Linked DNA regions of Macaca fascicularis. The protein of the gene in region 1 purifies or fractionates together with the protein of each later gene. This does not show direct contact. Links are inferred from orthologs where the notes say so. Each region holds a gene or a part of one and is shown on either strand. Other genes may lie near its edges.

Region 1 (3,850 bases):
AACAAGGAACAGATGTACCAGCATTACCTAATGAAAATATTCGAATCTATTTTTAAAGAGTTGTCGAGGAGAAGCAAGCCAGCTCTGCCTAAGAGCTCAGTGGACGGCAGGCCCTGAGCCGTCCGGGCCGCGGCGGGCTCACCTCGATGTGCTGGAACATGTAGGGGTGGTTGCAGATCTTCCGCAGCTGCATGATGGTGTTCATCAGGGTCTTGGTGCCGCCTTTGCCCTGGGAGGCAGATGAGAGGGTCCCAAATGGGGTCTTGCCCTCCTGGGGCGGGGTGGGGTGGGCTTGGTGGATGGGTGGCTGCTGGGAGAAGGGCCGTGGGGATACTCTAGTGGGGAGGAGTGGCTTTAGGCACAGCAATTGGGAGGAGATGGCAGGCTGGAGGCCTGGAGGCCCCCAACAAGCCCTGGGAAACACACGACTGCCTGGTACAGCAGAGGACAGATGGCGGGGACAGGGCCAGCACGACGGGACAGAAACAAGACTGGCAAAGGGCTGAGGCAGAGTCCCCGACGCTTTGTGATGCCACCTTTGTTCTGGGCACTGTTACTGTTGGATTCCCTAGAGGGTCTCAGCTGGGTGAGCCATGACTCAGGAGGCTCCCTGGGCTCCAGGATGAGGAAGGAGGTGGGGGCAGGGGCGGGGGGTGCGTGCTCTGGGCTGGGAATGGACTAGGGAACACACTGCTGTTCAGCTCAGGGGAGGAGGGGCACAGACACAACGTCTGGGGGAAGCCAGGCCGAAGTCAAGGCCTTGGGGTCAGAGGCAAGGGGTCTGGTGTATTCTCTGGGAGGACAATTTCACTCCTGCTGAGCAGAGCCAGGCAGGTGGGTCCTGGGGCCCAGGATTCTCAAGAGCAACCCCTGAAGGAGACAGCCCGCTCCCTCCCTTTCACTTAATAAGAGAGAGAAGGGGGGCATTCTAGAACACTCTAACCCTGCTAGGGTTAGTGCTGGGCCCAGGCTGCCAATTGCAGAAGGAGTCAGTGTTTCATAAGCAAAGGGGAAGCCACTGGCAACTGAGTCAGTGTGTCCTGACACAAGCCACCAGCCATCATAACCAGGGCTGGCCAGACGCCCTGGGGATCAGGACCAGATCATGACCCGATGGTCAGAGCGTGCTCTGCCCTGCCTGCCACACTGCCCGCCTTTGACACCCAGTGGGGAATGCAGCTGGGGGACTCCGGGGCCCACCTTCTTGTCCTTCTCGGAGCCGTCAGTCAGCAGCACGCCCTTGGCCTGCATGTGGCGGTAGAGCACTCGCTGCAGCGCAGACATGTCGCACTTGATGACATACTCCACCTGCAGGGGGCACACGAAGCTCACGAGGGCCCAAGGTGGCTTGAGGCCCGACTCCCACCACCCAAACCGAGCTCTGACCTCCCCGGCCCTGTCATATGAGCTCTGACCAGGGCACACTGGGGTGTGGGTGAGGAGTCCCGCACAGCTGGAGAGAAGAGGGGAGACCTGCGCAAAGAGAGGAAGTAGCACACAGAGATACCCGGGGGATACTGGGCCAGAAAGGGCCCCTCAGCCATCTCCTGGGGGCCTCTCCACAGCCAGCCAGGAAACAAAGAGCAAGAGGGGCAACTGTGGCTGGGGACCCCGAGTTTGCGGGTCTTGCTGTGGGAACTGGGTCCGGGGGTGTGGCTGCTGCAGGCCTTGAAAACCCAGAGCCATGACTGGGGGCCAGGGGGCGACCCCAAGCCCACGGCCCCTCCTGATGTGGCCAGGAGAGCCTGCACAGGCACCTGGCCCCCGACAGGAAGTGGGATTTTGTGCTCTAACCTATTGTGAGCTATGTGAGTCTATGAGTGCTTTTTAATCCCTACGGCAGAACAGCAGCATAGAGCATGACAGACCCAGTGGCGTCATCGCCGCCCCCAAGCTGGATTGACCAGGGCAGGCCCGGGACTGTGGGGAGAGACCCTGAGCACGCCCAGCCCTGGGGAAAGCCCCCACATGAGGCTGCTTCACCAGTGGCTCCCGTCAAAACTCCGTCACCTTTTCAGGCAACTGGGCCTCGACTTCCTTCTTGAGTCGTCGGAGCAAGAAGGGCCGCAGCACTTTGTGGAGACGCCGGATGATGAGAATGGTTTCCTCCTCATTCAGGTCCACCTGGCCCCACCAAGACACGAGAAGCAAGCATTACCTCCAAAGGAGGGCAACGGAGGTCTCACTAGAAGGTGCAGATGTGGAGACGGGGGTATGGGGTCCCCTGGGGTGACTCTGCCCTTGGCATGTGGCTTTTCAGACCGCTTTATGCTTTCTGGGGGCCCAGCAGGGCACCCTCTTCTTTAGGAAACTGTAAGGATCTGGTTCCCTCCGTGTAATTCCTGGGACATGGAGCCGCAGTACCCAGAGCACAAACCTCTGTGTGGACCATCTGCTCACCCCATCCAGTTGGGAAGCGTCTCACCCTGCTCCCTGTGCCTCACCAGAAAGACCCCGGCAGCGGGCATGCTGCTCTCCACGAGTAACACAGACTGGAGTGCCCACAGACCCACCACACACCAAGCTCACGCCAGCAGCGCTGCAGGGGCCAGCCTGACCACGTGGGGCTTACACAGAGTGATTCTCAGGGAGGGCTCTCATTCAGCCTGGGTGGAACTAGGTGAAAGAAACCCTGACCTCCCACGGCGCCTACTCCTCTACTAAGAACTAACTTTTAAAATGATTTAATTAAAAAGTTAAAGGAAAATAAGATGAAGCCAGAACTTTTCTTCTATTGCTTCCCAAGCAATCCTTTGGCAGAGCTTTTGCTCGGCTCAGAAAGCGCCGAAACTACGGCATCAGATCCTGGCTCTTGGTGTGGGGGGCCTGGGAATCTAAAAATTGGGGACCCCTTTATCATGAGGCTTTGGGGAATGCCTCAGTTTCTCTGTCAGAAGAGTCACAGCCTTGACCAGCAGCCGAGAGGGCAGGGAACTCATGGACGACACCAGGAAGGCCCCAGCTGCCCTGGACCTGTCTAAGGTGGGAAAAAGGGGGTGGGCAGGGCACTTCGAGGTAACCTCTGTAGTTCTACCCACACTTCAGCATCTGGCTAAACCCCTCAGAAAGAAACACAGCCCGTCCCACAGTTTCAACCTCCAACAGCAAGGGGGGCTCTAGGCTCAGGGACCAGTGCTGGTGTGGGGCTACTCATCCATGATGATGCCGCCATGCCACAGCCTGGCTGATGTTGTCACCCAGACACTGAGACACACTGGCCACTGCGCTTTTCGAAAACAACATAAGACAGAACCGGACCATGCGGCCTCGTTAACTGGAATCTTCCAAGCTTCCTTCCCACTGCCCTGAGGGTGAGTTCTGAGGGCACCTAAAGGGGCCTACAGCACGCTGCAGACTCTAGCGGTGCTCTCCACACACTTGCGGTTCCACAGCTGCCTCAGGGCCATCTTCCTCACCATTCCTTCTACACCTGGAGCATAGAGTCAGACACGCCCCGAGCATTCCGAGATTCACCATCATGACCTCTGCCCTGCTCCCCTGGGGCCCTTATGGCTGCCCCAGCCTTGGGTTCCAGGGCTCCCCTGGCTCCATGCAGATGCGGAATCTCGCCAGGCACCCAGCACAGGCCTAGCCAGCTGTAGCAGGCGCTGGACACGCTCCAGCCAGCAGAAAGAACCAGCCGCACCTGGAACCGTCAGCATGGGCACAACTGGATAAACCCACCTTTTCCCCAGTCATGGCGAAGGGCGCGTTGAACCACTGCTCGAAGGTGCTGCAGCTCTTGAAGATGGTGGGCAGCAGGAAGTTGAGCAGCGCCCAGAGCTCGGGAAGCTTGTTCTGCAGTGGCGTGCCTGTCAGCAGCAGGCGGCGGGGCGCCACGTAGTGCGTG
Region 2 (3,850 bases), on another chromosome or scaffold:
CAGTCACCCCGGCCCTTGTGGGGCCCCCGCCGGCCCTCTGGCCCTGCCCCCACCTTGTTGACGACTTTCTGTTGCTGGGCATGCTTCTGCCGAAGGCTGGCCACCTCCCGCCACAGAGCCTCATTCTCACTGCAACAGACCAGGCTGGGTCAGTGGGGCCCGATCCCAGGAGCCCCAGGGCTGAGGGAGCCCCACAGACCCTCCCCGTCCACCAGGCAGGAGCAGGGCTAAGTATGACCATGTCTGGCCTGGCCCACCCCAGGATGAGAACTGCTGTGTGGAGGGCTGGGGGCCAGGGCCAGGGCTTGCTGGTCCCACTGCCCCCTCCCTGACAGGAACACCTGGTGTCAGGTAGGGTGTTGGGGACGGGAACACCAGGATCCAGGTGCACCCAGATCCTGGCATCCATCCTGGCCAACACCTGGAGGGCTGCCTTGGACACAGGCTAGGAGCAGACCCTTGAGCCGCCCTTCTGAGGCCTGAGAAGCCAGGTTGAGGGAGGACGTTCTTCAGGTGCGACACCGGCTGTCCCGGGTCCCGCAGGTGCTCAGGGCCAGGCCTGGAAGTGGCTCAGAGGTGGCCCCACGGGGTGGGGGAGAGCTGTCCCCAGCCAGTTGAGCAGGGCCGTGAGCGCGCTCCTGCTGCTCTGGGAGGCTGAGCCCCGCCAAGCCTGTGAGTCTTCTTGGGGCCAACTGGGGTTGGGGTTCCCGCATGCCTGGAGCCCCAAAGTGGATGCGAGACCTGAGCCAGCCTTCTGAGGTGGGCTTGCCTCAGTTTCTCAGGTGCCACCATGTGTCAGGCCCCTGCTAAGGTTTCCCCAGAGCCGCAGGGTCCTGGTGAGGAGGGGCTGGGGGGCTAGCTCCATAGGCCCAGGCACATGTGGGGCAGAGGTTCCAGGAAGGGCCTGAGATGCGTCTGACCCCAGGCCCGAGGCGGGTGGGATGGGTCTGCTGTGCAGGGCTTGTCCTCAAAAGTAGGCTGGTAGGTCCCGCCAAGCTCGGAGCCCAGGCAGAAGCCAATACCCCGGGAGGCCAGGATGGCCCAGAGAGCGCTGGGGACGTGCAGAACAGGGACCCTCTGGACCCCCTTCTGCACGTGGAGAATGGCTGGTCCCAGCAGCCATGGGCGGCGGGGCTGGGGCAGAGGCCCAATAGATCTGGGTGGAGCAGGAGGTGGGGCTGAGCACCTGGAGCCCTGGACAGGGCCCTGCCCCCACAGCACCCGCTGCAGCCCACAGTGCTGGTGTGGGACCTACTGCTTCATGGCCAGGAGCTTGGAGTCCATGCACTCCTGCTTCCCCTTCATCAGCTGCACGTCCGTCAGCAGCTTGGTGACACTGTCCTGACGGATCTTTATGTCTTCACTCTTCAGGGTGGACACCTGGATCCCCGAGAGGGACAGGGGTCACTGAATCGGCCTGGGAGCTTGGCAGGCTCAGGCTCGTACACTGCAGCAGGTCCCTCAGGAAGCAGGCAGGCTGGGGTGGGAGCTCTCAGGGAGGGCCAGGCGGGGAGAGCCATGGCAGGCGAGACTGGGCGAGGGTGCGGGGCCGGCACTCACACTGGTCACTTTCCTCTTGATGTTCTCAAGGAGCTGCTCCTGGCCGCGCAGGAAGCACGGGTGCTGGAACTCCGTGTCGTCTCTCTCTGGCTTGACCAGGCCACCCTGCTCGATGTGGACCACTTTCCGGAAACCATCTGCACATAGCAGGGAAGGGGGCGGCTCTGCTTCAGGGTGGGACCAAGACCCCTCAAAGAGCGGCCACTGCCCTGGGAGGCTGCTGCGGAGCTTGGCCACGGTCAGACCCCACCCTGCCCCTCAGAGCCCACGCCTGGTGGCCGGGTGGTCTTGGTCTAAGTGAGACCCTGTGTCCCCACAGGGCTCCCCACGCCCGATACACATGGAGTACAGCTCGGGCTTCACGGTCCTTCCCTGGGGACCCCAGGTTCATACCCACGAGGACCCTCCCCCTTGGAAGAGGCAGCTGCCCCCGGCCCCCAGGCTTGCTGGGTTCCATGGCATGCCCTTGGCCAGCACAGGGGGCTCCGTCCTTCATCCACAGGGTCCTCCTGCTGGGGTCCCACCGTCTGCAGGTCCGCCTCCCGCACCTCGGAGGCGGCACTCACACATGTTGAGCTGCCGCACGAAGCTGGCCATGTTGTTGTGCTTGAAATACTTGGGCAGCACCTCCTTGGCAAACTGGCCCTGGTCGAACACATGGAAGCTGTTCCCACTCTGAAAGGGAGACACACGGTGGGTCACGCGTGGTGGCAAGAGGCAGCGCGCCCAAACCACCCTTCCCCAGGCCACCCCTTCTGGAGCGCAGGCAGTGCACGTTCCACCTGATGGGGCTGGGGCCATGGGAGGCCCAGGGGGCTGGGGGGAGGCGAGTTCGTTCCTGGGACCACCTGCCACACGGGGCTCATCTGTGCAGCGTGACCTGCATCCTCACTGTGAGGCCCAGGACTGGGCGGTGGGCAGATGCGGGGCCTTCCTCACAGCCAGGAAGCCCCTCCCCAGGGGTTCTAGAGAAGGCCACGTTTCCACTCACAAAGCACCTGCCGCACTCTGGCCACGCCCACGGGACGGGGTTTAGCTTTACCCAGGGGTTCTAGAGAAGGCCACGTTTCCACTCACAAAGCACCCGATGCACTCTGGCCCATGCCCACGGGATGGGTGTTTAAGCAGGACATTTCCCTTAGGAACAGCAAAGGAAATTGAGCCCTGATTTCATTACTCCAGAGGAAAACACATTTGCGTTCAGAAATCCAAACTCATTCTTGTTTTGTGACGTGAGACGAGAAACAGAGACAGTCAAACACTGCATATATTCTTCCTCTTCCATTTCTCTCCCAAGCTCAGGCCCAGAGCTATCAGGAGGAGCTGGCGAGGGAGGCATCCCTGCTGGCCGTGGCCACAGTGGCTCAGAGGGGGCACTGAAGGCTTAGGGGACAGCGAGAAGCCCACACGGCAGGGAATGGGGGCCTGAAGCAGGGCCAGAGAGAGGTGAGGGGTGTCTGCACAGGAAGGGGCGGCTGACCCAGTGAAGAAACGGGAAGGGCAGTGGGGCAGATTTATCCTGCCAGGGAAGGGAGCTGCAGATGCAAACAGGGAAAAAAGCCAGAAAAACCCCCATGGTATGGCACTAGAAGTGGAGAACCGCTTTCCAATATAGAGAGACGCGAAATAAACAAGGATGTGCATGCATTAGGGAGGGAACCAATCACGGAAAGGACCCAAGGCAGCAGGAGAGAGAGGGTGAAAAACACCAAGCCAACTTTCCAGAACTCTGAAAATTAACCAAAGAATTACAGTAGCACGGGGAGCAATTATTCCAGAAAAACAGCTGAATCTTAGTAAGAACGGTGGGCTGTGTGAACTTTTTTTTTTTTCTCTGAGACAGGGTCTTGCTCTGTTGCCCAGGCTGGAGTGCACTGGTATGAACACGGCTCACTGCAGCCTCCGCCTCCCAAGTTCAAGTGATTCTCGTGCCTCAGCCTCCCAAGTAGTTGACTACAGGCGCCACCATGCCCGGCTAATTTCTGTATTTTTAGTACAGATGGGGTTTCACCATGTTGCCCAGGCTGGTCTTGAATTCCTGACCTCAAGTGATTCGCCCACCTCGGCCTCCTGCGGTGCTGGGATTACAGACGTGAGCCGCCGTGCCCGGCCAGGCTTTGCGGCATTTTAACGTGCCCTATTCCCACTCCATCCGCAGCCCTGAAGACCGACAGCTGCAGTCCTCGTGGGAACCAGTGTCCTGGCAGCTGCTGCGGGGCGGGCCAGGGCTTGGGCTCCTCCCAGGCCCCATTCCCAGAGGCCTGGCAGCATCTGCCTAGGAGTCCACGCA
Region 3 (3,808 bases), on another chromosome or scaffold:
TGTATGTTTTTCTCATAATAGTCACTATCAATCAATCAAAATAAAAACAGTAAATCAGAAACAGCTCTCCCTAAAGACAAAACACTTTCACTTTTTATAAGAAGACCAAAACAAGTCTTAACAGGTCTACCTGAAGAGATGAACTAAGCTTGTAAGACCTACCACCAGGATGACTGATAGGATCATCTGGCAGATAGTGTGGAAGGCTCATTCTGGTTCTGATTATGTTCAGATAAACATCATCACTTAAACCTATTTAATTATTAGTTCAAAGTAGAGTTGAAGGAATTCCCCTCTCCCAATGAGTCACACTTGTGTGAAGGTGATTCAAATCCAAATCCAGGTAGTTAATATTTCATTACCTTAATGGAATCAAACCATCGGGGAGATTGGGGTAGAGAGAGATAGATGATAGACAGTCTGCTTGGCTTTCTCCCACAAAAGCCCAGAACTAATCACAATGTGCAAGGCTGAAACACGTTTTTGGGGGTGCAATGTAACCCAGGGCCAAATGCTGAAGAAACTTGGCAAATTGCATCTAGAGAAGGGCCTCTCTATCGCTATAACAAATTACTTCACTATGTATCTTCCTCAGTATAAAGTTGAGTTGGATAAACTTACCACCCTCACCATTTAATGACAAGAAAAAAAAAGAGTGACACAATCGAATGAATTAAAAGTTTAATTCTGAACCATTTTTTATAACCGCATTTTCTCTTGAAGCATTGTATCACAGCAGGTTACAACAACTTTGGGATAAAAGGCAACTGGTAAACTGTCCAAAACAAGGTTCCAAATAACACCTCTTACTGATTTACCCTACCCATACATATCCCAAATAAAGTTTTTGATCAAAAACATGAAATAGATCCACCTGCTTATTTTAAGCATATTAAAAAGGAAACTAATTGGACCATTTTCTATTTGTCTATTTTATACAAAAAGGCTACACAATGTTACACTTTATTCAGATTACAATTATTAGAGTGATTATGAATTAGTGTTCTACACCATTACTCAATTCTTAAAAATTAGAAATTGCTGTAGCAGTATTCACTATAACTTAACACTACGAGAGACTTAAACTAACAGTTACTGCAAAAAAAAAAAAAAAAAAAAAATTAAAGAGCTACTTCAAAGCAAGCAAAGTCAGTACCATTACAGATATTAAAAAAAAAAAAAAATTTAACAAGCAAGGCTAGGGTTTGATAAATTCCATCTTGTGATCCATTCTTGTGCATTCTTCACTTCTTGAGTCACTCCCAAAATCCATTTGTATTGTTACTCCTCGACCAAAAAGGACCAGAACAAAAAGTTTACTTCAATTGTTCCCATAGGAAACTCAGCTTGGTTAGTGTGTCAGGCACTTTCTGAGATACCAGCCCACCCCTCGAGCCCTCTCAGCAACTCTACAGGCCAATCACAATGCAAGTTCAGACAATACAGCTGTATAAAGAGAGAAAGGCTGCTATTAATGTTTAAAACAGCAAATGTTACTCATTTGAGTATTAAGTTGCAAAAGCTGTGGCAAAAAACATTAAAGTTAATAACTTCCACACATGATCACATAACAACCAGAAATCTGAGAACATTCCGATGTTCCAAGACATCTCCTTTCAAAGTATATACCTGTTTTTGTGGCAGATTTACAAATAGCCTAAATCACTCCCACCCTACCAACCAAGTCTTTCTGAAATTCTGTAGGCAGAGTAAAAGTATTTTACCCAAACTGGCTTTTTAAAACTTCTTACCTAAAGGATGATTTACAGGTCAGTATCAAACCAGGCCAGCTGATTGCTATCACCTGGAGGCAGCCCATCCATGAGGTCCTGGGCATGTCCCAGATCTGGCAGCCCATCAACTGGATAGTCAGCACCAGGGTGGTGGCCACCCATCTCATGTTCCATCATGGGGTCCATACCCAAGGCATCCTGGCCATATCCACCAGAGTGAAAAGAACGATAGCTAGGATCTAGAAGAGTCAGGGTATGAACAAAATAGGCAAGAAGGAAGGCAAAAGAGACAGGAGAGAAACAGACATAGACATTAACACTGAGGTTAGGGCATCCAAAGTTCAGCAGCAAACTTGTCAGAAAACAATGCTTTCTAGCCTCTTCAACTTCTAGCTTTCTTTAGCCAAGTAATTACTCAGTGCCAGACCACCCATGAGACTACACAAATAACGTCTGTTTCCATCAGAGAGGCACACCAGCAGGGCCTAGTCACATCATTAGTGTAACCCTGAACACACTGCATTTACCCCTGTCAGACTTGGGGTTCCCAAGAAGGAGAAGCAGGAATCTACTGTGTGACCACCTAGGCAATGAGAACTCATGGGAAGGAGGATTAAGACAATAATGAGGTCTGGCAGGTGTAATCTATCTTGACAAAAAGTCCAAGTGACACCAACAAAAGTACTAAGGAAAGTTAAGGCACTATTTCAATGAAACCTCAACATATTTTATCTTAGGGTTGACATGTTATTTGTCACAGTAAGAATCTGCGCTTTAGTGGTTTCATAATTAGGTAGAAGCAGATGAGGTTATAAATGTAAGACAGTTGTAATTGTTACTGGTCTACCCCATCCTCTATGTTCATTACCCAGATGTGAATTCGCTTTTCAAGAAAACCCTGATAATGCAACTATGTAAAAACCCACCCCAGATCTGAGCCTAGAGACAGGAGTTTTCCTGTCTTCCTTGGGTAGCTTGTAGACAAAAGGTATTATGAGTCCTCTGGCCAAAAAGAGAATAAAAAGCCAGGTAAACGGTAACATCCTACACTGCAGAGGCCTAGTAGTAGCATGTATTTGTTGGTGGTGTAATCCTACTGCTATTCATTGTGTGGCTCTGAATTCCCTGTGCTCCGTTAAAGATACTGTTGCTGACTGGAATTTAAGAACTGCTTTTAATTGAAGCCATTACTTTTCTGCCAACACTAGTTTCCCAGATGAGCAAACCAGCTCTTCTGATCAAGTTTTAGAACTTTAGCTTGATCTGGAGTTAATCGAGAAATATGAGACGCATACCATCCTGGCGATATCCAAGGGGTTCTCCCTGGGCACCAATATCAAGTCCAAGATCCGCAGTCTAGATAAACAGGCACAAGGCAAGAAAGAATAAAAAGCAAAATGAAAATTCTCAACTTAAAAGTACACTAATTTTTTTAAAGCATACTTTCAGATTACAAAGGAAACAAGTAACTCCAACATTACACAAATACTTAGAAAATGGAAGTTCTTCAAAACTCCACCCCTCAAAGATACATTTTTTTTCTCTTTGCACCTCACATTAAAAATACTCACTGACTTGATCTTTCAACAAATACATATTAAGCACCAACTATGTGCTGCCAGGCACTGTTCTACGTGCTAGAGATATAGCAGTTAAAAAAAAAAAACAGGCAAAATGCCTACCCCCAAACAGGAGCTGCTGACAGGATGTGTTGTATGAAAGAAAAGTTTTAGCCTGAGCAGCTGGACAGACAAAGCTGACATCAAGACAGAGAAGACAGTCAAAACAGGTTTGTGGAAGGGGGTAGGTGGAGAAAGTTAAGGGCTCAAGTTGGAACATGTTAATAAGATGCCTATTAAAAACCCAAGTAACACACCACTCACTGGTAATTTGCTCTCCTTTATTTATTTATTTTTTTTTGAGTTGGAGTCTGGCTCTGTTGCTGAGTGCAGTCTGTTAACTCCTGGGTTCAAGCAATCCTCCTGTCCCAGCCTCCCCAGTAGCTAGGACTATAGGCATCCATCCCCATGCCCAGCTAATTTTTAAATTTTTTTGTAGAGATGGGGTTTCACTAT

Evidence for each region. The genes of interacting proteins can lie anywhere in the genome.
Region 2: the proteins of SMARCA4 (region 1) and HSF1 purify together in Homo sapiens (affinity purification with western blotting; 3 studies listed by BioGRID). This does not show direct contact. The link is inferred for Macaca fascicularis from reciprocal best matches to the Homo sapiens genes SMARCA4 and HSF1.
Region 3: the proteins of SMARCA4 (region 1) and CTNNB1 purify together in Homo sapiens (affinity purification with western blotting; 3 studies listed by BioGRID and IntAct, with this or other methods). This does not show direct contact. The link is inferred for Macaca fascicularis from reciprocal best matches to the Homo sapiens genes SMARCA4 and CTNNB1.

Annotation. Positions count from the first base shown.
Region 1 is NC_088393.1:11,592,348-11,596,197, reverse strand, and holds part of SMARCA4 (transcription activator BRG1), read right to left. Parts: coding exon 3,685-3,850; intron 2,125-3,684; coding exon 2,011-2,124; intron 1,309-2,010; coding exon 1,201-1,308; intron 230-1,200; coding exon 143-229; intron 1-142. UniProt on the Homo sapiens protein: ATPase involved in transcriptional activation and repression of select genes by chromatin remodeling (alteration of DNA-nucleosome topology).
Region 2 is NC_088382.1:153,991,611-153,995,460, reverse strand, and holds part of HSF1 (heat shock factor protein 1), read right to left. Parts: intron 2,236-3,850; coding exon 2,109-2,235; intron 1,698-2,108; coding exon 1,561-1,697; intron 1,381-1,560; coding exon 1,256-1,380; intron 130-1,255; coding exon 54-129; intron 1-53. UniProt on the Homo sapiens protein: Functions as a stress-inducible and DNA-binding transcription factor that plays a central role in the transcriptional activation of the heat shock response (HSR), leading to the expression of a large class of molecular chaperones, heat shock proteins (HSPs), that protect cells from cellular insult damage.
Region 3 is NC_088376.1:104,083,628-104,087,435, reverse strand, and holds the end of CTNNB1 (catenin beta-1), read right to left. Parts: intron 3,090-3,808; coding exon 3,029-3,089; intron 1,973-3,028; coding exon 1,764-1,972; 3' UTR 665-1,763; downstream 1-664. UniProt on the Homo sapiens protein: Key downstream component of the canonical Wnt signaling pathway.